Sus scrofa: one gene and its partner. The protein of the gene in region 1 interacts with the protein of each later gene in a biochemical or structural test. Links are inferred from orthologs where the notes say so. Each region holds a gene or a part of one and is shown on either strand. Other genes may lie near its edges.

Region 1 (15,360 bases):
CCTTTCATTTTAAAATGTTCTTTCTAGAAGTGTATCAGGAAAGCAGGCCTCCCAAAATTTATGAACCAGATGTGTTCCCGGCTCTCAAGTTTACCCTCCCCTGCGGGCCTGTGAGTCCCTTGCTTTCCTCTTCTCCTTCCTTCCTGGCTGCTAGCAGGCCTCAGAAATCCCGAGCTGAAAACAAAGGCAGGTATCTCTTTGAATTAGAATAGTTGTCCCAGGTCTGCCTCTAGAACAACTATTAGCTACACCAGCCCGTGGAGAGAAAAAGGGGTTAGGTCCCCCTTGGTTCTCAGATTGCCCCTTAGGTCCAAACCTGCAGTACGTGAGAGCCAGTTGTAATTTTGTGATCTCTTTTCCGCCCTTTACTTTGGAGGTCAGGACATCTTCATGACTGAAGAACAGAAGAAGTACTACAATGCCATGAAAAAGCTGGGCTCAAAGAAACCACAGAAACCCATCCCCCGCCCCCTGGTGAGTGCCCCATGTGGAAAAACACCTGGCTAGGGTTCCCGCAGAGCGGGGAAAGGGGCAAGTGCCCTCCGTCCTCTTCTCACTGTCCATCCAGAGAGGGGAGGATGGCAGCGGAGGCACGGGGACGAAGGTGTGGGCAGCTCTTACGCTTGGGCTGACCTTCCTCCGAGCCTGCCTTGGCAGCAGCAGAGAATTGGCACGTTAGCCACATTGGCTTTGGTCCTGGCTGGGAGATATTTAGAGAGACCACTAAAAATTAACAAAGTGAAAATGAAAGCTGATCTCTTTCATATCAGTACAAGGTAGGATTTGGTGTTATTTTCCTCTCTATGTAACAAGTCTTTGCAAGGATATGTCAGGAAGCCAAAATAATGCTGCTGCTTTTGTGTGTGTGTATGTGTGTGTGTCTTTTCAGGGCCCCACCCGCAGCATATGGAGGTTCCCAGGCTAGGGGTCTCATCAGAGCCACAGCTGCTGGCCTACACCACAGCCACAGTGATGCAGGATCCAAGCCATGTCTGCGATCTACACCACAGCTCAGAGAGACACCGGATCCTTAACCCACTGAGCAAAGCCAGGGATCGAACCCGCAACCTCATGGTTCCTAGTCAGATTCATTTCCACTGCCCATGATGGGAACTCCCTAAAATAATGCTTCTTCCTGGTTATTTGTGGGAATGGGAGGGGTAGAACTAGGAGAATTGGGTGGCCTGATTTCCTCCCTTGACCTGAGCCTTTTACAAAACAGATTTGGGGGCTGGACTATGCCCCACCCCTGGGTTGGTAGTTGTCTTCTTGCCTCAGAGGAGGAGATGCTCTGCCTGAAGCCCCACTCCCTGCCAGGCGGGTAGAACTTGACCCCTACAAGCCAGGCTCAGAGTTCCTTCTTCTATAACTTTAATTTAAAATAACTTTTATTTAAATTAAAAAAAAACAAAAACAAAAAACCACAGCAGAACTCTTAAAAGCTTACCTGGCAACCTAATCTGTAGAAATAAAAATGGAGCTACTTTGTTTGAATCAAGAGTAGGAGCCCCAGAGAGTTTTCCCAGCTTAGCTTCCATGCCCACTCCCATGCCTAGCATGCCCCCCTTCACCAACTTCTGAGGGAAAGGAAACCCTAGGGCTTTGCAGAACTGTTCCAAAACCATCAAGTTAAGTAACCCTGAAAATAAGCATGAGCTCAAGGGCCAAGGTACCTTAAAAAAAAAAAAAAAAATCATTGAGATCTTGAGAATGTTTCTTATATTCCCTTGCTGTTAATTTCCACTTTGTGATAGAAATGCAGCTGGAGGGACTGTTAGAGGCTTGACGTTTCCAAAGTTCTGTTCAGTACTTTGCACACAGGAACCTGAGAGTATTTCCTTCCACACTAACATATAAATGCTCAGTGTGGTGGGAAGCATTAATAGTTATTCCAGGAGTTCCTGCTGTGGTTCCTCGGTTCAGCAGGTTAAGAACCTGACATAGTGTTGATGAGGATGCAGGTTCCATCCCGGGCCCTGCTCAGTGGGTTAAAGATCCTCCACTGCGGTGGTGCGGGCCGGCAGCTGCAGTCTGATTCGACCCCTAGCCTGGGAACTTCCATAAACCCCAGGTGGGGGCCTAAAAAGCAAAAAAAAAAAAAAAAACTGTTTCTCGAATAGTTACAGATCTCCTGCTGTGAAAAGTCGATGAACAGGGAGAGTTCCCTGTGGCCTAGCGGGTTAAGGATATGGCATTGTCACTCCTGTGGCTCAGATTGTTGCTGTGGTGTGGGTTCAATCCCTGGCCCAGGGTGTGGCCACATCCACATGCTACGGGTGTGGCCAAAAAAAGAAAAAGAAGTGATGAACAAAATTTAGACACCACCATCTAGAGCTTATAATATAGTGGGGCTACAGATACTAATTAAGCAGTTATAAAGTGGGGAATGTTGTGAGAAAAATTACCTGGAGGGCCATGACAGAAAATAACGCAGGCTGGGGGTGGGGGATCTCCTTCAACAGAGAAAGCCTCACTACTGAGGGTCTGTTCGAGTGGATGAGAAGGAGCCAAAATGCTGGGGAGAGATCCTGGAAGAGCAAATGAAGCTCTAAAAGCAGGAGACTTGAGTGTGGCCAGGTGGTGATGACCTAGGGGAGAGGTATGAGGTGAGTGGTATTTTTCAGCCAGGCTGAACTGTAGGAATTTTGTTGCGAGCCCAGTGAGAGGCCAGTGAGAGGTTTTAGGTAGGAGAGTGATGTAACCACTTACGGTTTTTTGGGGTTTTTTTTTGTTGTTGTTTGTTTTGTCTTTTTGCCATTTTCTAGGGCTGCTCCCGTGGCACATGGAGGTTCCCAGGCTAGGGGTCGAATCGGAGCTGTAGCCACCAGCCTACGCCAGAGCCACAGCAACACAGGATCCCGAGCCGCATCTGCAACCTACACCACAGCTCACGGCAACGCCGGATCCTCAACCTACTGAGCAAGGCCAGGGATCGAACCTACACCCTCATGGTTCTTAGTCGGATTTGCTTCCACTAAGTTATGACAGGAACTCCACTGTAGCAAGTGTGATTATTTAAAACCCTAAGTGGGGGTTCCTGTCGTGGCTCAGTGGTTAACAAATCCGACTAAGGACCATGAGGTTGCCGGTTCGATCCCTGGCCTTGCTCAGTGGGTTGAGGATCCGGCATTGCCGTGAGCTGTGGTGTAGGTCTCAGACGAAGCTCCGATTAGACCCCTAGCCTGAGAACCTCCATATACCATGGGTGGGGCCCTAAAAAGACAATAAGTGAATAAATAAATGAAATCACACTTGCTACTGTGTGGAGGCTGCACTGGATGAAGGCAAGAGCAGAGACTCTTCTAGAAGTGCAGAGGGACAATGATGGTGGCTTGGGCTAGAGAAGGGCAAGAGGAATGGAATGAAGTAGATGAATTCAAGGAAGGATGAGCAGGACCTGCCATGGGTTGGGTGGGAGACGAGGCAGAGACAAGAGCAAGAAGGGCCCTCAGACTTGTGGAGGCTGGATGAAGAGCTGAGGGGAGAGGAACCAGCCGGGAGACAGGCAGGGGGAAGGACGGAGCTCGGCTTTGCACTTGCCCGAGCTTGAGATGCTGGCACGTCGTCCGGGAGAGATGAGTGAGCGGCCCGGGAGTTCCGAGGAAGGATGATGGGCTGGCGAAGAAAACGCTTGGGAAGCATGAGGACATAAATAACGTGTAAGCGGTAGGAACGGGTGGGAGCTGAGCTCTCCCAGGGAGAAAGACGAGATGAAGCGAGAGAAGAAAGAGCCAGCGAACGAGACTAAAAAGGAGCCGCGGGAGAGGTACAGGCCCAGAAGAGTGGTCGTGTTAGAACACTCGGGGCGGGGTGTTGGCGTTGGCCCTTGGCCCAGCTCCCGACACCCTGATAGAGCAGCAGCAGACGGCTGGCCGGCATCCCGGCAGCAGCGCAGGCACAGAGGCCTTGCGTCAGCAGGGCAGCAACGTCCCGTTCGCCGGCAAGGTTTTCACGAAGGCTTTTCTCTCCTTCCGCCCGCCCTCCCCGCCCAGAACAAAATCCAAGGCATCGTCTTTGATTTCGTCACTCAGCAAGCCTTTGACATCGTCATCATGATGCTCATCTGCCTGAACATGGTGACGATGATGGTGGAGACCGACACGCAGAGCAAGCAGATGGAGAACATCCTCTACTGGATCAACCTGGTCTTCGTCATCTTCTTCACCTGTGAGTGTGTGCTCAAGATGTTCGCCTTGAGGCACTACTACTTCACCATCGGCTGGAACATCTTCGACTTCGTGGTGGTCATCCTCTCCATCGTGGGTGAGTGGGGCGGGCGGGGAGGGGACAAGGGCCCGACGGGCCCCGAGGAGGGGGCTCCTGGACCTGCTTAGCTGAACTGAATCGTAAATTCTGCGGTTGAGGATGGGGCGGGGCGGGGCGGAGCAGGACAGGGCGGGAGGGATTTGATTCGGTTCTTGCTGTCAGTGAGTTTCCCTCCCAAGAGGGGAGGTTAAAGAAAGGTATTTTCAAATACGGCTACAGTAGCGGTGTAGAGTGGAAACAGGCCTGTGAGAGATCGTGAAGCTGGGTATTAAGGAGACGGTCTGGTGCTGGTGGCAGCAGTGGTGCGGTTGGTGGAGGCGGTGCTCATTTACTAGGAATTGATGGTGCCAGGTCGTTTGAGTTTCTTCACTGGCATTCCTATCTCGTTTGATCCCGATGACAGCCCGGGAAGCAAGGGATTTTATTATCTTGCTGTAAAGATGTCCAAGATCACCTAACTAGGAGGTGATAGAAGTGGAACTCCCATTGCGTTTTAACCATGACTGTATGGCCAAGTTCCCATTGGGCTCAGTGGGTAAAGGACCCAATGTTATCTCTGTGAGGATGCAGGTTCGATCCCTGGCCTCATTCAGTGGGTTAAGGATCCAGCATTGCTGCAAGCTGTGGCGTAGGTTGCAGGTACGGTTCGGAACCCGTGTTGCTGTGGCATAGACCTCAGCTGCAGCTCCAATTCAACCCCTAGCTCAGGAACTTCCATCCGCCCCAAGTGCGGCCGTAAAAGGAAAAAGAAGAAGAAAAGAAAAAAAATACAGTGACCGTGTGGCATCCGCTTCAACCTAAGGACATGGAAGGGCTGATGTCCTGGCAGGCAGAGGACATGGTGCATTTCCCTTTGAAGGGTCATAGGGCACATTAGCCTGCAGGAGGCTCTTGGAAGTCCTGGAGTAAAGGATTCTGTTTGGTAGAGTTCCTGTTGTGGCTCAGCAGGTTAAGAACCAGACATAGTGTCCATGAGGACGCAGGTTTGATCCCTGGCCTTGCCCAGTGGGTTAAGGATCTGGTGTTGCCGTGGCTGTGGCATAGCCTGCAGCTATAGCTCTGAGTCAACCCCTAGCCCAGGAACTTCTGTATGCCACAGGTGCAGCACTAAAAATTAAAAAAAGAATTCTGTTTAACAATCCATCCCACCTTTTTTTTTTTTTTTTTTTTTTTGTCTTTTGTCTTCTTAGGGCCACACCCACGGCACATGGAGGTTCCCGGGCTAGGGGTTTAATGAGAGCTACAGCTGCTGGCCTACACCACAGCCACAGCAACACAGGATCCTTAACCCACTGAGCAAGGCCAGGGATGGAACCTGCAACCTCATAGTTCCTAGTCGGATTTGTTTCCACTGCACCATGACAGGAACCTCTCCATCCCACCTTTATTTGATCACAATACCCTGTTTTGAAGTAATAGTGATGTTTCTCATAGTTCAGTGGGACATACTATGTGCCTGTCGCCAATCTAAGTGCTTTATGTGTTTTAATTCACATAATCCTCGCAACAGCCCTCTAAGTATCACGAGGAACTAAGGCACAGAGCCCAGCCCCCTGGCCTCAAGTCCACACTCCTGACCTCCCACAAAGCACACCTTGGACAGTGCTGCCCTTGTCCATTGTTCTCGAACTTCCTGCCCACCCATCACTGAGTGGGATGGAAAACCCACAGACCCAACCATGCACCCTCTTCTCAGACGGTACTTGAAAATAAGGAGAATTCCTTTTGATAATTGGGATTTCTTAAAATATCATTAAGTTGTTCAGGAGTTCCCGTCGTGGCGCAGTGGTTAACGAATCCGACTAGGAACCATGAGGTTGCGGGTTCGATCCCTGCCCTTGCTCAGTGGGTTAACGATCCAGCGTTGCCGTGAGCTGTGGTGTAGGTCGCAGACACGGCTCGGATCCTGCGTTGCTGTGGCTCTGGCGTAGGCTGGCAGCTATAGCTCAGATTCGACCCCTAGCCTGGGAACCTCCATATGCCGTGAGAGCGGCCCACGAAATAGCAAAAAGACCAAAAAAAAAAAAAAAAAAAATCATTAAGTTGTTCAAAAACAAAAGTATAGAAAAAATCTTTTACATTAAAAGGAGTTGGAATAAGACTCACCCTGGAACCTCCTAGAGGACCCTTTAAATGCTGATTCCCACCGCCTGGGTTGCTGTCCGCCCACCTCTTGCCCCTCTTCTCTGGGCACAAATCCGCATGCATCCTGCAAAACCTCACTCGGGCATCACCTTCTCTCCGAAGCCTTACCTGCCCCCCATGTACAGAACACAAGGGCTGCGTATATTACCTGACGTCTTCCGGTCACTGGTTATGACTTGATTGAGAAACAAAAGGAAGGGCACTGAGAAATCACCTTGTTGGGTCCTGGCTGAGGTAGAGACTTTCTTAAAAGTTCAAATGCCTGTGGAATTCCAGCTCCAGAGGAAACCCTGACAGGTTATCCGGCCAACTCCAAACTTCCTGCGTCTTGTCCCTTCCTGAAAGTTAAGATGCTTTCGTAGCTTAAAACCTTCAAATAAGCCTTCTGCAGTTCACTGCCCCAGTGTTTATGAATCTTTGCGGTGGGAAGCTGTTTCTTTATTTAAATCAACTCTCTCATCCGCTGAGACGCACACCGTCTCGTGGGGGCCTCGAGAGCAAGAGAAGGCACTGAAGGAAAAGCCATGTCACTTCGGCCCCTTCAGCTGTCACGTTCCAACCTCTTCAGCTCCTCTTCCTCTGAGGCCCTCACTGGGCTCCCGTTATCACTGTAGTTTTTAAAGGCAAGTCATCTGCTGGAGGCGGACTCCTGGGTGAATGTGAACAGCAAAAGGCCCTCTGGTGTATGTGTTTCACCCTCTACTTTTCTATCCAGTTACTGCCTTGACACTTTTAGCTGCTGTTACTGGTTTCTGATTTCTGGCTTCAAACGCAACACCTAGAAACTCTCAGTTAAAAATCACTCCTGAGGAGTTCCCGTCGTGGCGCAGTGGTTAACGAATCCGACTAGGAACCATGAGGTTGCGGGTTCGGTCCCTGCCCTTGCTCAGTGGGTTAACGATCCGGCGTTGCCGTGAGCTGTGGTGTAGGTTGCAGACGCGGCTCGGATCCCGCGTTGCTGTGGCTCTGGCGTAGGCCGGTGGCTACAGCTCCGATTCGACCCCTAGCCTGGGAACCTCCATATGCCATGGGAGCGGCCCAAGAAATAGCAACAACAACAACAAAAGACAAAAAAAAAAAATCACTCCTGAGCGTTCCCTCTAGTTGGTAGGCTAGTTTGGTAGGGTAGGGCCACGGGGCAATGAGAAACCAAAAATGTCTTTTCAGAGCCAGGAAGAAGATGCTTTGGGAACTGGTGATAGCGGGGTGTGTAAGATTTCGCAGCCAGAGGGCAGCGAGGTCACGGGGTGGAGCCGAGACTTCTCCTTTACTGTGTGTGTGAATGTAGAAATCTGACGGCATTTCGGAGAAGAATCCATAACACCTCAGAAGGTCACGCGTGGACAAATCTGAGAAAAATGAATTATCCTTGAGTGGGAAAACGGATGGATAAGGACCTAGTCATCAAATGAGTTAATTAAAATTATTGTAACATCAGAGCTCGGTCTCCCAAACATAGTGTAAATCTCAAGAGGAAGTGGGGAAACAGTAAAACAGATAATGGCGTGATGCCTTCCACCTAGCAGGAGGCTCTGTGTCGTCTGTGGGTTCCTCCGTAGCAACAATGGGACGACGATCCCGGGATGGACATTCCATCTTCAGGGCCGTGGTTGCTTCTGGGGCTGATGAGTGGAAGCAAGTTTGGTAAAACGCTCCCATCCATGTTTTCATCTGGGTGTTAGGGACGCAGGGGTCCATTTTATCGTTGTTCCTGCTTCTCTGTGTGTTTGAAACATGCGACTTTCTTTTCTCATTAAGAGCTGAATAACGAGCACTCATTCCCTCAAATCCTTTGAAGGCAGGGGTCCGGAGTGCCCGGCGACCCAAGGAAGGGGAAAGGGCACCTCCAGTCTCAGTAACTATCTTCTGTTCCTCTTCTTAGGCATGTTCCTGGCTGATATAATTGAGAAATATTTTGTTTCCCCAACCCTTTTCCGAGTCATCCGATTGGCCCGCATTGGGCGCATCTTGCGTCTGATCAAAGGCGCCAAAGGGATTCGTACCCTGCTCTTTGCCTTAATGATGTCCTTGCCGGCTCTGTTCAACATCGGCCTCCTGCTCTTCCTGGTCATGTTCATCTTCTCCATCTTTGGGATGTCCAACTTCGCGTACGTGAAGCACGAGGCCGGCATCGATGACATGTTCAACTTCGAGACGTTCGGCAACAGCATGATCTGCCTGTTCCAGATCACCACCTCGGCTGGCTGGGACGGCCTGCTGCTGCCCATCCTCAACCGGCCCCCCGACTGCAGCCTGGACAAGGAGCACCCGGGCAGTGGCTTTAAAGGCGACTGCGGGAACCCCTCCGTGGGCATCTTCTTCTTCGTGAGCTACATCATCATCTCCTTCCTGATCGTGGTGAACATGTACATCGCCATCATCCTGGAGAACTTCAGCGTGGCCACGGAGGAGAGCGCGGACCCCCTGAGTGAGGACGACTTCGAGACCTTCTACGAGATCTGGGAGAAGTTCGACCCCGACGCCACCCAGTTCATCGAGTACTGTAAGCTGGCGGACTTTGCGGACGCCCTGGAGCATCCCCTCCGCGTGCCCAAGCCCAACACCATCGAGCTCATCGCCATGGATCTGCCCATGGTCAGCGGGGACCGCATCCACTGCTTGGACATCCTTTTTGCCTTCACCAAGCGCGTCCTGGGAGACAGCGGCGAGCTGGACATCCTCCGGCAGCAGATGGAGGAGAGGTTCGTGGCGTCCAATCCTTCCAAAGTGTCTTACGAGCCCATCACGACCACCCTGCGGCGCAAGCAGGAAGAGGTGTCGGCCGTGGTCCTGCAGCGCGCCTACCGGGGACATTTAGCCCGGCGGGGCTTCATTTGCAAAAAGACACCTTCCAATAAGCTGGAGAACGGAGGCACGCACCGGGAGAAAAAGGAGAGCACCCCGTCCACCGCCTCCCTCCCATCCTATGACAGTGTAACTAAACCCGAGAAGGAGAAACAGCAGCGGGCGGAGGAGGGAAGAAGGGAAAGAGCCAAACGACAGAAAGAGGTCAGAGAATCCAAGTGTTAGGGGAAAGCTAACTTCGACAGTGTGCAGATGTCCAACGTGCAAGCGAAAGATTGTTTACAAACTTCCTGAATATTATCAATGCAGAACAGCTGTGGAGACACTTTAACCCGAAGATCTATACCAAACGTAGTCTGCTTACCATGTAACACGGTTGCATCTTGAGCAGTGACCTGCCAAGGGCAAAGGACCCTCCTCCCTGGACTCAACAGATTTTCTAATGCTTGGGCAGGTGGTTACTGCATGTTCCACATCAGTCAATGCAACTTTTAGGACAAAACTAACAGGATACAAAAACAGAGGAGAGGCTGCCGGGACCAGTGTATTTCCGTTGCAGCCAAATGGATTTTATTTTTTCATTTTGTTGATTCTCAGAAGCAGAAAGCATCTCTTTCAAAGTTTGTTTGTTCATGCAAACTCTCTTTGCATTCTTACATTAGTTAAGCTAAGCGGCAAAAAGGAAAAAACACACACACTCACATTTAGCCCGTGTCATTTAACGGTCACTTTCTTTGGCATAAACCGCATCTTCTCCACATGGGCTTCACGTGGTTTGGAGATGGGTGGGGGAAAACAAATCAGGTTTCTTCAGGCTGAGGAGGACTTGCTCAGGCCGATTCCAAACATTGTGCTCATTCAATGCGTAGAAATGATTTGCATGATGGCATGCCGTGATCAGAAGTCATGCATGAGAACCATACACCACAGGACACTACCGATCCTGTCCCCTGCCCTGGGTCAGCCTTTGGACAGGACCCAGCCCTGCACCATTCACTGTATTTGGAGAAAAAAATGGTAAGCGTTCCATACCCGCTGCAGTTCTTGACGAATTCTTAGAGGTCTTTCATACACCTTCTGGGTAGGGAAACACAACCAACCAGTCACCACCACCACCACCACCACCACCACCACCAAACAAACCCAGTCCAACAAGCAGATGGATCCGTTGTGTGTATCTGTTTCACAGACATCTCTAACATACAGCCGTTGTTGCACATCTTGAAAGATGAACTGTTTAATGCTGCTCTGTGTCCCATCCACGGGGCAACTTTGATCCCGAATGGCTTGTATTAACGTCACTGTAAAACCAAATCCTAGGGCTAAAAAAAAACAAAACAAAAAGACAAAAAAAAATGTTCATTTGTATCCTGCAATATTTATGATTTGTTGAGCCTTCATACTGGAGAACTGACACTTTGGGGGGACAGAGATAAAAGTGCTACTGTTCAGAGTAGCATGTTATCTCTAGAGGGTCATTTGGGGGAAAGGGGTGCTCACTTCATCAGTAGCGTGCCCGCGTTGTGGCTTTCTCCGGGCTTGGGTCCGTGTGGAGCAGGGTCCGGAGTCTGAGCAGACCGTCTTCCGCAGAGAGGTGGTGGCAAGCTCACACACAGCGTGATTCATGAATGCCTCTTGCCTCCATCACTTGTTTCCACCACGCAGGGCTTCCTTTACCCACAGAGCTGGGTAAGGGCAGCAGCCTCGGCGCCTCAGCTCTGGTTCTTTCGTGTCTTATGAGAATCAGTCGTCACTGGTGGGACCAGTCGAGACAGAGCGGCCTCTGAACCCAGCCCACCTGGTTTCTTTATCGCACTGGTTCTCATGGGAAAGCGATTCAGTGTGAATTCTTAAGAAGTCCCAGTGTCCCCCAGCGTATTCCCTTTTGGCCAGTTTTGCTCTCTGCTTAGTGACCTGCCCATTGTCATTGGAGGGTGGCTTGGGGGGGAACGTCATTGCTTCCATTCCATCTCCTGCTTCAGGGAAGACAGCTTTTAGTCCAGGGGTTTCTCGTCTGCTGACTAGATTTCAGAGCTAAGATGCTGCAGTTGAATGTGTCAGGAAGTCTATACAAAGAACAAGGAGAGACTTCAGCATGCAGGCCCAATCAAAACAAATTCTTCCCCAGCCACACAGTAGAGGGGGGAAAGCCCATAATCAGACACACCAGTCTGCCTTGCAGTAGAAGCACTTTGGATGTAATTTCCCAGCCCACCTGACTAGTTTTGCGTAGAACAAACCACAGCAAGTCAGTGAGCAGAGCTTTCTACCTTGTTGGACCACGAGAAACTGTCCAGCTCTCATAAGCCTGCTTCTGCAGCACCATCCGTAGAACCTTTTGTACTCCACCCAATAGCAGGTTGGGAAGGCGTTTTTCCATCGGCGACCCCGCTAACTGCTAGGATGAATGTATAGTAACATGTACAGGCTACATCGTAAACAGCACAAAACAGCTGACATGTGTGGTTATTCTTTTTAAGAGAATTATAAATACTGTAATATATCATTTTATTTTATTAGCATGCCTTTTTGTAAATACAAATTATTAACTTATTAAATAGGAAATGGCTTCTGGCTTATGCCATTGTCATGTTTATTTTTATTTTTTATACTTTCCTTTCTTCTTAGAACTTAGACGCTGTCAGCCAATGTACATCCCCAAACCAGACAGACAGACAAAAAATTTTTTATTGCTAATGGTCTTTTCCAAAACGACAACAAAAATATATTTTTGTTCCAATGTGCAATAAATTCTAACCACTTCTATGCAAGATTTGGCTAAACTTCATAATTGTTCTTGTTCTTAGGTCTTGAGATGGGCAACAGAGCTATGAGATTCCCGCTCCGTACTCCAAGCGCTCGCGCTAGTGATTGTCATTAAGCTCCTAGAGCCGAGTCATGAGATTTTTCTGAGACCTGACCTCTTTCCTCCCCAGACCCTGCTCCCGGCCCAGCAGGCTAGCTCCTCCGTAACTCGTAACTCACACACCGGCCTTGGTATCTGACACCCATCAGCCAGCTTCACAGGGAAGAAGCCACCTCCACTCTCTTTGAAGTTGCTTTTTTCTTTTTCTTAACTTTTCCCACCTTCTTTTCCCTCACCCAGCGCCCCTTCACACACCGGCCCACTGACTTGCTCGCTCGCTCACTCACTCGCCCTGCTCCACACTTCGTTGGTAGTCAGTGACACCATCACCAGCAGTTTACACCCGCAGTTAACAGGCACTGAACGGAGTCAATGATGACGTTTTTGTGCGTCTTCACTGAGGGGGGAAGTGGCAGCGCTTTGCCAAATATTAACGAAGCCAATCAAAAAGCAGCAGCAGCCACAGTATCACTGCACATATATATATATAGATATATAAATACAATATAAATATTTATTTTTTGTAGCCGGGTCCTTGGTGCAGTATTTATACTCCACAATCCACCTTTAAAAAAAGGACAAAAAGCAAAAAGACACGTGTGATGCTGTTAATTTAAAACGCAGAGCCAAAGCCACTGAGCAGCAGCTGACGCAGTTGCTGGTTTGTGTGTGAAAACACTTTCCCCTCTTCTTTCCTGAACCTCCGCGTTAGGAGGAGACTCCACAATTTAAACCCGAGGGCGAGAGCAGCAAAACCTCCCCAAGGCAGCGGGACCTACTCCCCTCCTCTCCAGGTGAGCCGCTCTGGGCATCAGAAGTTGACTGAGGGGGAGATAAACAGAAACCCCCAGGCAAAGCCCCTGAAACAGAGTTCTTTTATTTTTCATCGCAACCAATGTCAGCTTGTACAAGCCCAGTAGTGAAGACGGGTGTCTTAGTGACTGCATGGCGGCCAGCACTGCTCTAGACGAGGCGTGATGCGAGTCCGTCACTGCTATAAGCCAAAAGGAAACAAAATAAAAACCACCCGTTTTACCGTGCAAGGGAAGCCGGTCTTGGTGTGCGTTTGTTGCTTGACTCTCCCGATTTTCGATTCCTGGGCGGGGTCTGAAAACTGGGACCTTAGCACAGGTGGAGAAAGGAGGGGGAACGAAGGGAGAGAACGCAGAGGGTTTCTCCAAAAGTTCTGGCTAAGGAATAGCGATTGGAGAGAAAAGCAAGGTCCGGGCCTCCCCCCCCCAGGTCCCCGCTTCTTTCCCCCCCCCCCGCCGCATGCGGCACCCCTCCTCCTGCCGGCCCCCAGGAAAGCCCTTCTGCGCTGGTCCCCCTGGCAGCGCCCCCAGAGAGGATGGCAGCCAGCCCAGCTGGGCTGGCCTCACTTCTGCCTTTTTCACCAGTGTGTTAAGAAAACCATTCCAATGCCCCACAGCCTCCACGCTGCAAGCTATTGCTGGGCCCTGCCCTCCATCACCCCGACCACGAGCCAGCAGACTAGGGCTGGTCTCCCTCACGTTCGTGCAGGGAAGGGGGGCGCCCCTCCCTCCCCTTGCCCCGCTTTGGGGACATCCCTCTCTAGGCCACGTCTCCCGGTCCAGGAACACTCAGGAGGATTTTGAAGTGCCCACTCTTGTCCGCTCCAGTAGCTCCACTCTGGAGACAGATGGCGGGTAGGTCAGTCCCCATCCTCCTCCCCTCGGCCCCCAGCCTCCAGGCCTGCTGTGGAGGTGAGATTGCCATGGGTTATGACTTTGTGACTTGAGTCCTGGGCATCTTCTGTAAAGATGCCTCTTTCTTTTCTCAGATGTTGCCCAAAGTTTTGCAAAAAGCTTCGTTCATTTTCAGGTACCCCCACCCCCTAAAGAATCGGCTGCAACGAGCCAGCCAGGGGGACATCAGGAGAGGAGAGGAAGTCTGCGTCCGGAGGGGCCCAAGGTTTGCACAGTCTGTGTTGGGGCTCAGCTTTGTGCTTTCTTGGATTCTCCTTCCAAGAGTAGCAAGATTTCCTCCATTAAAACACTCCTGAGGCGCCCCCTGCCCCTGCCCCCACTGCTGTTTGCTGTACATAGAGGCTGAGTGGGGTGGGGTGGGCGGGTGTGCACGTGTGGTGTGTGTGTGTGTGGAGAATGTATATAGGTAAAGGGGAGCGCGGTCCAGTGGTTCCAGAAGAGGGACAGAACTCCTTTGTTCCATCCCCGGCTCGACCACTGACTCGCTGTGTGGCCTTGGGCAAGTCACTTAACCTCTCTGTGCCTCAGTTTCCCCATCTGTAAAATGGGGATAATAATACTGACCTACCTCACAGGGGTGTTGTGAGGCTTTAACTACATGTTTTGTAAAGTGTTTTTGAGATACAGAGGCCAAGGCACTAGGGAAGGGCAAAGTACTATTTGGACTTTCGGAAGATGAAATGGTACCATAAATGCTGCTATTCTGAGAGCCATTTTAAACTGCACTGCTCCAACCACCCCCGCTTCTCATCACCAGGACAGCAGGTCGAGAAAATGTCTTTCCTTTCACTTGCTTCTGGGGTTTGTGATTATTCTAGACACTTAATTTCTTTCCCTTGCTGTATCTCCTTTCCTCACCCCCCTCGACTTGTTCCCTGTTCCGTTTATGCGGAAATGGCAGAAATGCTTGAGAAATGAGAATGTATAAGTGGATTGGAAGTTTATAGTCTGAAATTTCAATTTTACTTTGTACTGTACATCTTTTTACTTTAGAATTTGCAATAAAGGGTTACGTCAATCTTGTTTTCAACTCTCCTCTTGGACTGGCCTGTCATTCTGTCATTGCTCTTACACCAAAGCCCCGGGGGGGGGGGGGGAGTCAAGCACTCCCACCCAGCGGGACCCTCCAGCCAGCCTCCCACCTTCGGCAGCAGTCTGAGCAGAGTCTGAGAGGGTTCACCCCAGCCCCGCTCCTCAGGTGGCCTGGCAGTGCCCCAGCCCCTCCTCAGGTGGGTGAGAATTGGGGGCTCCAGATGGAGCCTCAGGAGCCCTGCCTGAGTGGAGAGCAGCTGGGAGCAGCAGCCCCTGGAAGTGGGCACACTTCTAGCTGTGCCACCCAAGGCAGGGCCTCAGGGTAAGCAGAAGCTCCAGGGCTTGTTCTGGTCCCCATGGTGTTTCTCTAGCTCCCTACCCCTCACAGATCATTCCCTCTGAGCTCAAACTTTTGGCTCAAGCAGCTCGGGGTTCAAAAACCTGGCTATGCCACTAACTAGCTGTGGCCAGTTTCCTTATGTGTAATGGAGATACGACCTTCCTTTGGGGGTTTTGAAG
Region 2 (15,833 bases), on another chromosome or scaffold:
ATTTTCTAATATTTGAGGGTCGTACGAGTGATAATTACTTCTCCCTCTTCCTTCCACATATCTCAGTTCAGATTCAATTAAACAATAAGGCCACCCATGTTTGAAAGATGGAAATAAAACTATTGGTTGTATTCGGGATCATGGTTTTTTTGGGGGGTGAAGTTTAACCTGTGGTAGCAGTGGTTTCTCTAACTACTTCCCCCACATCTGAATATTGCAATGACCCCTCAAGGAAGGGTTTGGATCTGGAGAGCAGAGATATTTACCCAGAACCGGCTTCCCTCTTCACCCCTGTCTTGGTTTCCACAGAGGATGAAGATTCTGGCACAAGTCGTTTACTTAGGAAAGACCATGGCACATGAGCGAGGGATGGATGTTGTAAGGAAGGCGGGGAGGGCCAGTCGTGCGTAAAGCCAATATCCCAGTGGGAGACTGGATCTTAACCCCCCAGGGGAATTCTGGGAAAGAACGGAAAACACACACCTTATCATTATCCCTCCCAAGGGGTAAAGGAACTGGGTATTCAGTGTGGAGAAATTCTCCCAGGGTGGGCTAATTCCAAGGCTTTTCTGAGAGTCCTGGACAGAGAGGAACTTCCGTGGTTTGGACAGAAATTCCTCAGGTTCAGAGATGGAGCTACTGGAAAGTGAACGTCAACCAGAGCACAGGGATAGGGGAGAATGGAAGGCGTATATGGGGGGCACTGTGACGTCTGCTACAAGCCTCCATGAAGAGTTCACAGATAGACTGGTCTCCAGATCTGCTTCTAGAAGACAGGCTGTGGGCTTCATGACTCCCCCAGTGCTTCCTGCAGGGAGAAGCTGAAGCAGAGGAGTATGAAAACTTTTTGCAGGCAGGCAGATCCAGAGAGAGAGAGAGAGAAAAGGCAGGGCCACTTAAGTCATTCCATTCTCATTAAAAAATTGGGAGATGGACTGGAGTTTTCTTTCCAGACTCTTCCTTCCAGAAGAGAGGGGCAGATGTTTTACAAGGTAAATATAGATGCTGAGGTCCTTACAGATCCATTAATCAACTTTTCCTTTCAATCATGTTTCCCCCATTTTTTATCTTCTTTTTTTATCAAGATCATAAGCTCTAAACTGTCATAGGTTACCTCTGACAGGCAGGAAGCAGGGCAGAGGTGACAAGGGGACATAAGATCTGACAATGGGATGTTTGCACTGGTGTGAGAGTAAGAGTGGCTTGTAAGAGGCAGCTGGGACATAAGTGGCTGCTACTACTAAGTGGTTGGAAAGGAGAGTGGCAGATAGCATAAATCCACAGATTATGTGTGATGTACTTGTGCTCTTTCTCCTTTTAATATGAGTAAATAACCCAAATTTATAGGTGTGTTGTAATTAATACCAGACCAGTTCATAAGAGAGTAGAAAGGATAAGCTGCTGTAACAAGGTTCACAAAATACAGCGGCTCAAACAAAATCAAGGCTTCTTTATCATCTAACAGAACAGAGGCAGGTGGGCAATTCAGGATAGATTGGCTGCTCTGTCCAAGATCCTGGGTTTCCTCTCTCTTGGTACCTTATTCCTGGAGCCTGTTCCGCTTCCTGCTCTCCAAGCCGCTCACACCATTACTTTCAGCTCATAGAAAGAAAAACAGAGACGTGGAAGACAAACAACTTCTTTTGGAGAATGTGACTAGGAAATTTAACGCTGCACTTCTGCTTACATCTCATTGGTCAGAATCTGGTCACATGACCATACTTAACTGCGGGGTAGCTGGGACTTCTGTTCTCTACCCGGATACCCATGGGCCCTTCCAAAAGTGTGATGGGGGTGGGGTTTTACTGCTAAAAGGCAAAATGAAGTAGAAGAGTAACTTGGGAACAATTAGAAAAAGCATGGTAAAATAGTTATGCAAATGTTTGATGACTAATCTCATGAAAATTTATGTGTCCTATGATAAAATGAAAGGTATATTTTATTGTGTTCTGGTCATTAAACCTACCTTAAGATTTGCTTACTATAATATGCTGAATGTTAATTTAATTTCTAAGTGAACTTGATTATGAGTACTGGGTTTATTGTACAACACAATCTTAAGATTTTTTTTTCTACTTGTATATGCCATAGATTTAACTGTCAATTTTATTCTATTTTATTTTATTATTATTTTTGTCTTTTTGCCATTTCTTGGGCCGCTCCCGTGGCATATGGAGGTTCCCAGGATAGCGGTCAAATCGGAGCTGTAGCTACCGGCCTACGCCACAGCCACAGCTACTCGGGATCTGAGCCCCATCTGCGACCTACACCACAGCTTACACCACAGCTCACATCAACGCCGGATGCTTAACCTACTGAGCAAGGCTAGGGATCGAACCCGCAGCCTCATGGTTCCTAGTCCGGTTCATTAACCACTGAGCCACGATGGGAACTCAACTGTCAATTTTACAGTGGCTATGAGGTTTTTCTTATTTTCTTTAGTTCTAAAGCTTGCATGTACTTTATAATAATTTCTGGGTTTTGTCATTAATATTGACTTGAATGTAGCATGGCAAAAGGTAAGTAAATATTTTGATGTCTTCCAAAGCAAAACTTAAATAAAGGTCTGAACTTAGGTCAGTGTAAGTATCTTTGGATCATTCCGAAACTGGAGGCAAACAGCCCTTGGTCTTCTTTATTGTGTAACTGGAAATCTGCTTTAATTTTATGAATTAACATCATAATGGAGTCTTGTACAATTACTTCCACAGGGTAAATGCTCAATAAATATTGGTTGAATAATTAAATTGGGTTACTCAGAGTTCATTAGGAATTGCAACTCCCTTGGACCAAAGGTGACCTGAATCAGTATTAGGCCATCTTTTTCAGACAAAAGTATTTGGTATTTTCTGTTTGTTTAATAATGGGACTAATAGCTTATGTAATGTAAACAATGTAATGGTAAATATAGAAAAATGATAAATGTGCCAATATATAAATAAAAATATAATGATAAATATAGAAAAAACTACAGAATTTTTATTTCTTATAATAGGAGACTTCTCCTTCCTTTTCACAGCATAAAAAAAGAGAAGCGACTAACACAGTGCCTGGCACGAGAGATTCTCAATAAATAGTAGTCACAGTTAATTACCTTTTATATTGTTCCTTAGGTCACAGGATAAAGAAGTGATCAGTTTTCCACTAATACAGAGCAAAACAAACCACAAATTCACTGTCACAAGGTAGAGAAGAGAGTCCAGTTTGGAAATGCAAGAAGAGCTGGTTTGAAAAATACTCTCTCTACACGAACTTAGCATGTGAAAAAGTCCAATAATTAACAGAATATGTCCCCAGATTTACTCTGCTTGTGAAATACCCCAGGAAACTCAGCAAGCTTTCACAGAGCCTTAGCGCTTTGTGAGTTCACAAGATCTTGATGGAGAATATCTTTTTAACCAGCGGTTTCTCTGACATATGTCCAATGGTCATATATTGGGATAGACTGGAACTCCCGACACAAGAAAGTTATGGAAACAGCATGTGGGATGTGACCCTGATTACTGCTATCAAAATGTCTTCCCTGGGATAAACCATAATGGAAAAGAATATTTCCAAAAAAGAATGTGTGTATGCATATAACTGAACCACTTTGCTGTACAGCAGAAATTAGCAGCAACATTGCAAATCGACCAGACTTTAAATACGTTCCTTATTATTTGGCGATGCTATCCCAGTTCCCTCTTTCAAAAGAGAGTTTTACTCTTCCGTTTTTGTTTTTGTTTTGTTTTCAGATTCTAAGTCATTTGGCATTAAATTCATGGACTTACTGTTTTCTCTCTTTTCTTACTTCTCAAAATTTACTTAGACTGCAGTTAATCTCGGTAATTTCTTTACACCATTTAACATGATTCCTTAGGCACACTGAGAACGTCAGTGTTTAACTTTCACGTTTCTTAACTTTAATAAAATTCACTTGTTTTCAATTTCTGTGATGGCTGAAATTGACTGACATATCCCCAAAGGGTTTAGGATATTGGATACAAATTCTGGTATCTCAAAATTCCTCCCAAATGTTAGAAAATTTTAGCAGTGAGAGGGTTGTTGTATTTTCTTTTTTTCTTTTTTTTGGATAAATGAAAATATAACAAGGAGTTAATATTTGATCACGGAGGTAATTTTCTTTAAAATCAGTTTCTTCAATCAATTCTCAACAACATAAATCTGCATCTACTTGTTTATAAGATTGCTTGATATACCATGCAGTAGAGGAAGTGGTTTTAATTTCTTGAAATTAAGATGGAGCGTCTGAATGTATATTTTTTAAGTTACAAACTTTAGGTCGGTTTTCCCATGAAAGTGGAAATAAGCTGGCATAACTTTACTTCATTTGCCAAACAGCAGTGTGAGGGATCAGCTTTACTTTTCCGAAATGCTCAGCTCACAACTATGAAATTTTAACATTGAGTAATTTTGACTGGTGAGTACACAGGAGTTTGTTACATATTCTTTATCATAGTTTGTACTATTTTATATATTGTATTTTTTTCCCAGGTAAAGTAAAATACGTCTATAGCTCTGTCCTAAAGCTTTGATTTTTCAGGAGATTAGGAAGCTGGGTTGTATCCTGATGAAAGAGAAAATTGGTCCATTTTGCTAGGTTAGATTGTGGTGCCTGGTGACAAGGTTAAATATTAATGTAGATAAGTGAATGAAGGTGATTTTAATGTTAGTTTAATTAATGGGTGCAGAAACAAGCAATGAATTAGGGTGTGAATCAGAGTGCTTTCAGTACCAAAATAAATATAAATATATAATCACCCATTATCTTCATATGTATATATATATATATGGGTTGTCTGTCTAGAAAAGGCATAAATATTCTCATTTACATATGACCCTCTCAGCAAAATATAGTTTGTCACCCAGCTTTTAGTGGTTGCCCTTTTAACAGGCTGTTTCTGCAAGTACATATTTGTCATATGCCTAGTTTATATTTTTCAAACAGCACTTTAAAGAGGAATCCAATAATAAGAACGAAAGGAACTTGAGTTTTCCTTAATGTTGCAGATACTTTAGATGCCGCTTTGGAAAACGTCAAGTGGAACTCATTTTTGGCGGTGGAGTGGTACCAGACTACTCTTTCCATTTAACCCCCCGTATTTTCTAGGCTTTACAAATTATAATCAATTTTCCTTTTCAAAATTCACCTTTAAGAGAAGGCTCTGTTAGCCGGCTCCAACAGCAGGCAGCGAGCCTGCCTACTCCGGCTGGGCCCAGGAGGGAGAGGGTGGAATATTGGGGCTGGGGCTGGGGCTGGGGCTGGGGCTGGGTGCGGGCGGCGGGGGGACTTCGAGAGGGGAACTAGCGGGGAGACTGCAGTGACACTGCCCTCCCCGGGCGGGTTGAAGCATCTCACTGGTGACGGGTCTGAAAGCACGTGGCTACGTCATGGAAAGCCAGTCTTTTCAATGCAAACTTCAACTCCTCCTCCTCCTCCCCCCTAATGCCTGTAACTCACATCCGAGGCTGGGCGAGGAATCCGGAGGGGAGATTTTCCTCATGCTCGCCGTTGTTGGAAACTGGGAGAGTGAGAGGAAGGAGGCAGGGGCTCTGTGGCGCTGTCGACCTACTACCAGCCTGACCAGGGGAGGGGGCACCTAGATTTGCATCTTTTCTTCGTGGTGATTGAGAACTGCAGGTTCAATCCGATCCCACTGAGCACTGGCGATTGATGATAAAAAAAATCGACACTGGCAGAAGGAAGGCTCTGTCTTCGGCTGTCAGACTCGGAGGTGGTATTGGTGTGTGAGTGTGTGTGCTGGTGGTTTTTTTTTCTTTTTCTTTCTTTTTTTTTTTTTTCTTTTTTCTTTCTTTTCTTCTTTCCTTTTTTTTTTTTTTTTCCTTCTCTCCTAGGGACTACACAATGGCAGTCTCTTCTCAGTGAGATGAACCCTGCTTTGCCTTCTGCAGACCCACCCATCCTCATAGCGATCAAGTAAAAAAGGCTATGGTTTTCTCTTTGGGGATCTTTTGTGCATTACTGTTCTCTCTGATTAGTTCTGGTCTCAGTTGGGATTTCTTTGCCTTTTTGTTTGGCTTCATGCTGAAAAAGGATTTTTTTGCCAACCCTTTGGTAATCCAGTGGTGATCAAGGGGGATAAATCATTCACCCTGGCCGAAAAAAAACAATCACTGAGAAGTCTCAAAGAAATATACCACGTGAGGGGAAAAAACTGGGAGAAGATCCGGAATATTATCGTTTTTCCTATGGTAAAACCGGTGCCCCTCTTCAGGAGAACTGATTTCAAATTATTATTATGCAACCACAAGGATCTCTTCTTTCTCAGGGTGTCTAAGCTGCTGGATTGCTTTTCGCCCAAATCAATGTGGTTTCTTTGGAACATTTTCAGCAAAGGAACGCATATGCTGCAGTGTCTTTGTGGCAAGAGTCTTAAGAAAAACAAGAACCCAACTGGTAAGCAAAACATGCATCATGTTATGTTTTTCCTCATAATAACCTGTCTGTTGCTCATTGAGCTAGATCTGCAGTTCTGCTATGCAGGAAGGCAAGGGGAACAGAAAAGGACCAGGACAGTGTGGTATATAGAGGTGTTGCATGGATAAACAACTAACAGCTGGATCGGCGTCTGTGTGCCCGAAAATCATCCTGGGCATCTCTTGGCTGTGACACAATCCATCACTAGGAGGGAGGAGGAAACTTTTTTTTTTTTTTTTTTAAATATATTTGGTTGCTGATGTTTGGTGGAATATTGAAGGGCTATGGCTTCAGGTTTGGCCCGAGGCAGCTGAAGCTTCGGTAGTTGCCAGGAAAAAGAACCGCGAGCTCTCCCGACTTCTGCTGCAGGTTCGGGGACGTAGCTCGGTGCCCAGACCCGGCTCTAGACTTTCTGATTAGCTTGCACAATATTCGCCACCCCATCGCCTTTACCCAAGTAAAAGAGGCCCCTTCCCTCGCGGCCCCGCTCCTCCGTCAGCCCCCGCCTCCCGCCCCCGTCGAGCTCTCGGTGCCGGAGTATTAATTAACTCCTTCGCCTGTCTGCCTCCGACACCTCCAGCCACCGGGGATACTTGAGCAGGGCTCGTGCCGGGAGGGAACCCCAGACCGAGCACACCAGCCGGGTCACTCTAGTATATGTCATTTAAACCTCCCCTTTAAAAAGCAGTGTCCGGGCCCGGCGTTTGGGTCCCACCGGTGGGATGAGCCTGGCCCTGGGTCGCCGCTTCAGCCTCCTGGCGATCGTGCGCCCCCATTCCAAAAGCCTCCAACCGGGAAACTTGCAGTACATTACATAAGGAATGCAAATGCAGGTGATTCGGGGAGTCGGGTCCCCGGGGTTCACCTCCCGGTATCTCAGTCTGAGGCGTTTGGGGGCGGCCGCGGAGCTGTGGGCGAGCTACCCGGGGAGGCCAGGCCGGAGGGCGGCGTGGTGGCGGCGGCGCGCCGGCGAGGAGGCTGGGCGCAGCGGGTCCGGGAGCCGCGCGCGCGGGCAGCGGGGGTGTGCGGTGTCCCCCGGTTCGGTTCAGGCCGGGGAGGGCCCCGGGCGGGCTGTTTGTGTCTGGGGCCGCGTTGGGGGCGGGGGCGGGGCCCTGGCCGTCCTGCAGTGGCAGCCGGGGCGCCCGAGGCTCCTGACGCTGGCACTGCGGTGTAGTAGATCATGGCTCCCCGCGGGCGCCCTGACACCCCGGGCTCCGCCGCGGCCGCGCTGGCACCCGGAGTCCCAGCGGCCGGGCAGCAAGTGGCTGCCGTCTCCATGCCTCCGAAGCTTTGCTAATGCAGCGTAGCTGGGCGGCGCGCTCCGGAGGAGCTGCCGCCAGCGGGAGCCGGGGAGCCGGAGGAGGAGGAGGTGGGGGGAGGAGGGAGGAGGAGGAGGAGGTGAGGGTGGGCGGGGATGGAGGCGGTGGGTGTGGAGGCTGAGCACCCCGTGCGGCCCCCTCTGCTGCGGCAGGAGGGAACCTGCGAGTAGTTAGAGCGTCCAAAAGGGCAGATGTCCGCGTGCCGGCGGACGCCTGGCAGGTGCCTTCAGCTGGGACGTTGGGTGGCCGTGGAGGCTCTGGGCGCGGTGCTGCAGTTGGCTCTAAGCCTGGGTCTTGGAGTTCTCATCCCAGGGCTCTAGCTCGGCCGGCTCGCTTTCCGTCCCCCTCTTCTTCCCCAGCCCCGCCTCCGTCCCCTGTCCTTTTACCCTTCTCTCCCTTAACTCCTTAGCGTTTAGTAACTCTGAGATGGTACCACCATCCTGGGAATTACTCAGGAGAAAGCAGTGTTGTCACCTTACCCAGCCGCAATTCCAGTTTGGCCAGTGAGGTGCACCCCAAGCCCGCATCAAGCCCAACATTTGCTGGTCCCTAGGCCGTACCTAGATCTGCAACGCTCCCGTTTCCTGGGTTCGCGTGAAGACCCTTTTGGCGAGACTTCCCCAAGTGGATCAAGCCAGGGGCTGCGGTGAGAGGGGAGGGGCTCCTCGCTCACACGGGAAAATCAGTGGGTCTTGAAGCCTTCTTGTGTCCTTCTGACAAGGGAATTCTGTAGAAGCGTTTCTTTAGACTTGGCCATTTGTTTAGGGATCTTGAAGTCAGTCCTTCCATAGTACTGGAGAGTGGGAAATAATTCAACATGGAACACGAAGTTTCCTTACGGCCTTTTATACTTTTTTTTTGTTGTAAACAGTTTTACTGGAAACACTAATTTTCACCCATGCACGATTCAACATCTTTTTTATTACACCTCCCCCATCCCACCCACTTTCATCTCTCTGGAATAAAGTAGATTTTTTTTTTTTTCGTTCTGAGGCGTTTTGGAAGGTGTCAAGCAAATGACGAATTATTTTTAGAGCAATTTATTTTGCAGCTTATGAAGCTAAAGTACTGGGGTGTGAATTGATGGGTTAATTCAAACTATCTAATAATATCAACTATTCTAATAGGATAGTTTGTCTTAGATTGCCACGGGTTAGAGGTCTAGTCTGGGAGTTGCAGCGCTTTGTAAATTATTTGAAAAATGGGACATTAAGGTGGCACCCTATTTAGCTCACCTTGCAAAAGTTTTGCCTTTGGAGATTGAATCAAAGCCATGCCTAGCCATTGCAGTTTCAGGATTGTGGTTGGTCAATTTCATTCCCCTTCTGTTGTTAACATGAAGCCTAAAATCTTTTCCAGGTTTTTTGATCCCAAGATAGCAGTATAACTAAGAAGTTAATTGGGTAATTAAAATAAAACAAAGACTAAAATCCTCTTAACTGTTAAAACCAAAAAGAACAGATTGACTACGACCTATTATGTTATCTTAAATCTAAAATGAGGACAATTAACTGGTTTCAGACTAAGAAGCTTGGCACAGAACCTCTAGTACCAGTACTAGGATCATGAATTTGATGTAAAGACTTCTTATTAGATTAATTTTTCTTCTTAGTCTTTGTAAATTATAAACAAATTTACCGATTATTCCTAGTTCTTTAAGTTGTCAACAAGTATAGGCCATTGGGTCAGGGGTTCCTGAGAGGGATTTTCAGAGCACTGCTATCTAATGGAGTTGATGTGAAAATACACAGATAATTGAGTCATGAACTTAAAGGCAAAGTTGTTCATCTACCCCCAGACTCATTAATGCTTAAAGAAGAGGTGTCTTTTGCAGTTGTTTTCATGTAAAACTTAACTGGAAAAGAGCATAAAGAATATATTTGCACAATCTATGCTTTTTAAAATAAACTGTAATAGTTTGGAAATCCTGGATAGAAAGTAAATTTATTGTCTTTATAAAAAGTCCAATCTTTCACAGTACAACTATCAGAGAACACACACACACACACACACACACTTAAATGTCCTACTGTTCCCTATTTTCCTAGTAGAGCAATAGCTATATGTTTAGAATAAATGTTACCTGCTTCAACTTTCACTGCATGAGTCATTCAAGGTGACTGTATTTTAGGCAGATCATTAAATAAGGAATACTGAGTCTGAGGCATTTATTTTGCCCTGAGGAGGGCTTGATATATTTCTTTAAACCAGTACTGATAGTTTGGACAGACCCATTTGTATCACGGGCCAGTTTGGGGAATAATCTAGGTCACTGAACCTTGAGCGATGGCTGCTAAACAAATAAATATGGCTGGAAAAAAGAGGTCCACAATAAACACGAAGGTCATGTCGCCAATGTCTCTTCAGACACATAATGTCCAACAAGCAAAGGAAGCCACATACCCTCTATTATATACAGCTACTCACAGACACAAACTTGTGTGGCTTGGCAGGATTTTGTAAAGCGCAGATTTTAAGATAAATCATAATTGGATGTAATTTTATTGAGTACCAGTGTTAGTGGCTGGGAGGGTAGGACGTGGATGCCCTAGACAAGTTCTGCAGAGCACGTTTAGAAAATCCCCCACACTCCTGGCCCCGAGTGTTTCCTTTTCTAAACTCTGTCTCCTTCTCTGCCATGTAACTTTGAGCTGAAACAGGCAAGGGTTGGTAGAACTCACTTCCTACTGCCTACTTTTTTTGGGTGTCTTTCATCTCTGCTTTTGCCTTTGACTAAGCTGTTTTAGGTGCCCCAAACATCTGGTATGCTATTGTTACTTATTTAAATACATGTTATTCTTTTAAAGCCACTTGCTCTACAGCTAGGGCCCTCATGTCCTTAAGAAGGGAGAAAATAGGAAGAGGGAGACAAAAAAAGAGTAAGCATTTTTTTTCACTCCTTCTCCTCTGCCTGACGACTCATCCTGGGTTCCTGCAGAGCTGGGGGAACCACAAATGGGCCATGATCTCTGCATTCCCGAACACCGAGCACACAGACAGTGGAATGGTCACTTCAGATGCAGGGCTGGAACACCAAACAGATGTAAGGTCCTTCGGCTGCTATGTTTGCCTCCAGAGTGGGATTCCACATAACATGAGGTGGCCTTGGACTCCATCCAGGAAGCTTTAGTTACTGAAGCAGCAAAATGAGTTTTGCAGGCAGTAGCACTTCCTGAACCAGAGAATGACGTTTTAGGTAGACTTTCAAGGACTGACCTGTTGAGAGTGTGGTGTTTTTTCTTTTGTTTTCACTTAGATCCAAGTTAACAAGCGTGAAATCCCATGCATGATATCCTAAACTTGGTTTTAACAATGGAGGTGACTTCATTGTACCCATACCCAGCCTATTCTCATCTTAGGCAGCATCCGTCACTGAGAACATTTGTTCAAATGATGCATTGCTTTCAGAAGGTGCTAAAGCTAATTCTATACCATATTTCATAGTTCCCACGCAGAACATTCTTTTAAAAATGTTCAAACCCAGTCTTCCATGTTTTAGCAACACAAACACTGAAGACTTTTATGAAGTGTTTTTATACATGTGCTAACAAGGACAACAACCAAAGTTTTTGCTCCTTTGTACATTTTGGCATCATAACTCAATTGACTCATAAGCTTACTATAAATATCATGTAGATGTCTCAAAATGGGAGCATTTATTCAAAATAGTTTCTTATGCCTTCAGGGGAAACAGTTGGGATGTTTGAACAGTGTATTTGAAGCTTCTCTAGTAAGTTTTAAATAAGACACCACACTGCGTCTATATTCTTGATAAAAGCTTTGAGCCCAATTTAGTACCACCTCCAGGAGGGACAGGAGGTTAGGGAAATACCCACTGCCAAGTCTCTCTGCCTAGTACCATAGTCTGGGTGGTGTTTCTAGGGTCTTAGTTTGTGTACCATGTACCAGATTTAGTTATAAGAGTTGAACCTGAGCACAGAAGGGCAAGGAATTGTCTGAGAAGAGTTGTTTCTCCCTCTACCTCCAGTGCTGCACTTTTTGGTTATTCTGCTTTGTAAAGACTACGGATGTATTCCCTGTATATTCCTCTAGTCGGGAGAAATTAATGTTCTGCTTTGACCCAGTAGTAAAAAGTAGGATGAGGAAGCAAAGGGAAGTTGAAAGGAGGAATTCTTAGAAACTTCCTAAACAGAAAAGCAAAAAGGAGGCATACTGCAGACATGGTTTACAGGGAATACTGAAGTTTTGTTTATCTACTCTTCAACATCAGCTAAGAAAGTCACCTAACAATGGACAAAAGTCACTATTGCCCTTATCGTCGCCTGACCAAAAATCCCGTTATGACAAACTGCAGGTTTTCAACATGTTTTTACTAAATGAATTCATAGCAAAAACCAGGCATCTCTGAGAAAGTTAACCAGAGGGCTGTAATTGCCAGTAACATACAATTTCCTTGCTTAAGTTCACTTCATGGGTCTTCCTTTCCCAGAGCCAACCAAGAATTTGGCTTCTGAATAGTAAAGGAAAGAAGGAAAAAAGCTGTTGGTGCCTTCCTACTCTCCATCCGCCATGCCAGGGCATCCTGAAACGGGGCCTGCAAACATTCCCTAGGCCCACATGCTAAGTCTCCAAACTTGAGGCCTTCCTCGGAGGCACCAGCCCAGGCGCCAAAGGCGTCCACCCTCTGGCCCCCTCAGCCTTGACACAGCAAGTGGCAGGGCACCGTCTCGTTCCCTCTGCAGGAGCCCCCTCCGCTTCTTTTCTGATCTTCGATTTTCTTCTTAAAGGCATGCCGCAGAACAGAGTGCATCTGAATTGTTCCTCTTATCATTTTTGAACCCCTTTCTCCGAAGGTGGTCAATGGGACCCTCCCGCGTGGCACGTTTTTGTTCTTGAGGGGCCAGCAGCCAAGCAGCCTCGAGCTCCACTTGTTTTGAAAGGAGGTGCCCCCTCCGTTACTCTTTTGTTCCTTTTTGCTTTAAAGCACTTCCTAACCGCACTCAGCCACTCAGCTTCCGCCCTGCGCGGGCCGCGGAGTCTGTGTCAGGGACAGGACGTCTGGCAGGACGCCACGATTGGGACAGAGCCCCCGCCTTCCTGAGCAGCGAGCGAGGCATGGACTGTTTTCTGCCAGCCAAGAGCCGGCCACCTCTGCGGCTCGGATCTGCTTCCAGGGGTCGGGCCCCGAGCCTGCCTAACGGAGCCCTGGAGAGAGGGGGCACGCGGGCGACGCGTGGCCTTCCTCTGCTGTGACCCGCGGCCAGAGCCCCACATTCCCGCCACCCGGCGCTCCCCTCCTCCGAGCGTCGGGGGCTCTGCTACGCAATGCGGCGGAAGCGGCCCGTCCGAGCCGCCGTAGCGCGGGAGGTTTCCGTTGCTACAGAGATGACCTCTGACCCAGGGGGCGTCTCTGGGGGGGCCCCTGGCCGGCGCAGCCGTTGCTATGGAAACCACGTGGCCGGAAGCCGCGGTGCGGGTGCGGGCCGGCCTCTGACGCGGCGCGCGTTTGCCAGCCCCCGGCCGGCGTCCGCGCGTGCGCCCCCGTGCGTCGCCGGGTCCAGGGGCTGCGGGAGAGTTTGGTCCCGGCCCACAGGTGGCCGCCTTCACCTGGGCAGCATCTCCTATGCGCTGCCAGGTGTAGAGGAAAAAGCACTGGGCAGGAGGAAGGAGCCAGCTTGCTGGCGATCACTCCCGAGTTCAGGACTGGGAGAGGGTGAGCCCCGTCCCTGCTGGCTGCTGGAAGACCAGGGCGGGCTCGCGAAGTTCTCTGGGCCTCAGTTTCCTCGACTGCAAAGCAAGGGCATTGATTAGAATAAGCTCTGCTCAGCCCCAGCGCTCGTGTTCCAAGCGTCTGTAACTTCCACCCAGTCCGGATTCTGAGTGGACTTTCCCATCTTCCCTGTATCTCTCCTGGACTGTGTTGAGTATATTTAAGTTGTAATCTAAGATCTGAGACTATCGGACATGGAGGGCTACCTTAGGGATCAGGATTGACCTTTTAGAAGTGTGGCAAGTCCTTCACCGTGGAGAAGTGACTGTTCCAAGAGCCAATTTTGAGTTGTAGACAAAGCACAGCACGCAACTTTGAGCCTTGGAAGAAGAAAAATGTTGTATTTTACTGGTGACACTACCAAGAGCTCTTCACGCATCTCACAGAGTTGTGTGGTTCGTTCTGAAACAGATGGCATTCCTTTATATTTCTTGTATTCCCCAGATGCCTCTACCTGCAGTTTCTGAACATTTTCTGGGGGGAGGAGCCTACCTACCTTGATTTGTTTTACCTTCTGTTATTTTGGACTATTGGGAAGAATCACAAGTATTTTCAAATCAAAACAAAAACAAATCAAAACCACTTCACTGTAAATTTAGAAATTGAAAAAGACTATTTTGAAGGTATGATAAGACGAGAACAGCCTTCTTATAAAAGAACAGATCTAAATTGTGTTTCTGGCAAGTGGAGTAGGTCAAAGTTACCTGCTCATATGGCTTTAAACTTTTAAAAGATTTTTGTTGGCCTGGTTTCCAAAGAGTCTTTTTACCCCTTCCCCCATGATAAGAATTACCCCCCTGAAGTTTGCTTTTCAAGTAATTTGCCATGAGTTCCTCAAGAAAACTGGATAGAATATTTGCATCTCAAAGCACAGGAAAGAATGCAAGTTCCTCCAAGAAGGGCTTTTATTTCCTACATGCAGAATTTTACAATACCTACCCGCATAGGGGAGGGTTGAGGATTGGAAAAAAGGACAGCTGGGCTTTGAATTGCTTCTGGAGCTTCATTTCTGCTCTTGTAAAGACTCAATTTTTGAGTTCAGGGTAGTTGTTTTTAATTCAAGAATTGAGTTGCAAGCTGTTTGCCATCAGAGGGCTGGTCACCCATCCTACTACATTATCTATTTGCTTCTTTAATTGGGGGGAGAAGATCATCAACTAAGATGGAAATACAAAGATTTCTGTGTTCTAGATAGCTCTTTGTTTTGGAAGATCTTTCCTTCTGCATGCATAGTTGCACTTAGCTTTGGGGACAAGACCTCAAAAAAAAAAAAAAAGTTCCTATCGGGCTCTGAGTATCACTTCCAATCTTGCCAACTTCTCACTATAGAGCTAACTTAATTTTTTTTTTTTCAAATACATTGTCAGATTTCAGCTGACACAAAGAGTAAATGTTCCTGGCAATATTGAAAACCTGTTGGATTCAAGAGCTGTCCCCCCAAAATGTGTAAAAGGTAGTATCCTCCCAAGATCCAGAACCGCATCCAAAGGTAGCCAAAGAGAGAGACTTGGGTATTTCCCTTGAGCACTGGCTCCAATCATTAGGACACTAGCTGTGAATGGAGTGCAACCCACATTGCTGTCCGGCCGTGTCTTGAGGGCCCTCAGCCTGATGGTTCCCAAGCCAAAGACCTGACATGAGACAGACAAGAAGGCACTAACTGTCCCTGGGAAAGAAAGGATCAACAACAAATAGGTCTTGGGAAGGAAGAAACAGCGTGAGTTTTCCCTTCCTCCCTCAACTGGGCACTGCAGACAGACAGATCCAGGAGGGCTGACTCAGGTAAGAATTCTCTGGCGCTTGCCAGTTTTCTCAAGATCCCGTCAACAGGCCCAGAGCAAGTGGAGTGCGGCTCTGTTATCTGCCAGAATTTGCCAAGATTTTTCATTAATTTTAACTTTAGCTTCCCGCTGGCTTCTTAAGGGACTAAGTGGTAGAGGTTACTGGAAAATCCCTTGGAGTCTATCACCCCTGAGAGGGGCCTCTTTGGGGAGGTGTGGGGACATCTGTAAGGTCCCTGATTTGTTTTGTTTATGGTATTGTAGTTTCTTTAGAGTGGAAAGGCAGGTCAGTTAGAGGATTAGCGGCCGGTGAGAACTGCAGGAAAAAGACAGAGGGGAGTAGTCGAAGTCACTTCTAACAGTCTTCTCTTTAGGTACCTTTTGTGTCCTGAATTTTTCATTAGCTCGTTGAAATGAATCTTTCAACGAAGATGTTTTTGGAATCTTGGAGCCTTTTGGAGGCTTTGCATGCCACTTAAAATGGGTATCCTACTCTGTTTGTTTGATTTGGGAGCCCTTATTTTTAAGTGCACTTCTTAAAAGAAAAATCCTGTTTAATTGGA

Evidence for each region.
Region 2: the proteins of SCN8A (region 1) and FGF14 form a complex in vitro, tested with the Homo sapiens proteins (2 studies listed by BioGRID). The link is inferred for Sus scrofa from reciprocal best matches to the Homo sapiens genes SCN8A and FGF14.

Annotation. Positions count from the first base shown.
Region 1 is NC_010447.5:17,159,005-17,174,364, forward strand, and holds the end of SCN8A (sodium channel protein type 8 subunit alpha), read left to right. Parts: intron 1-369; coding exon 370-474; intron 475-3,992; coding exon 3,993-4,263; intron 4,264-8,293; coding exon 8,294-9,441; 3' UTR 9,442-14,827; downstream 14,828-15,360. UniProt on the Homo sapiens protein: Pore-forming subunit of a voltage-gated sodium channel complex assuming opened or closed conformations in response to the voltage difference across membranes and through which sodium ions selectively pass along their electrochemical gradient.
Region 2 is NC_010453.5:70,851,442-70,867,274, reverse strand, and holds the start of FGF14 (fibroblast growth factor 14), read left to right. Parts: upstream 1-5,333; 5' UTR 5,334-6,210; coding exon 6,211-6,418; intron 6,419-7,857; exon of another isoform or gene 7,858-15,271; intron 15,272-15,833. UniProt on the Homo sapiens protein: Probably involved in nervous system development and function.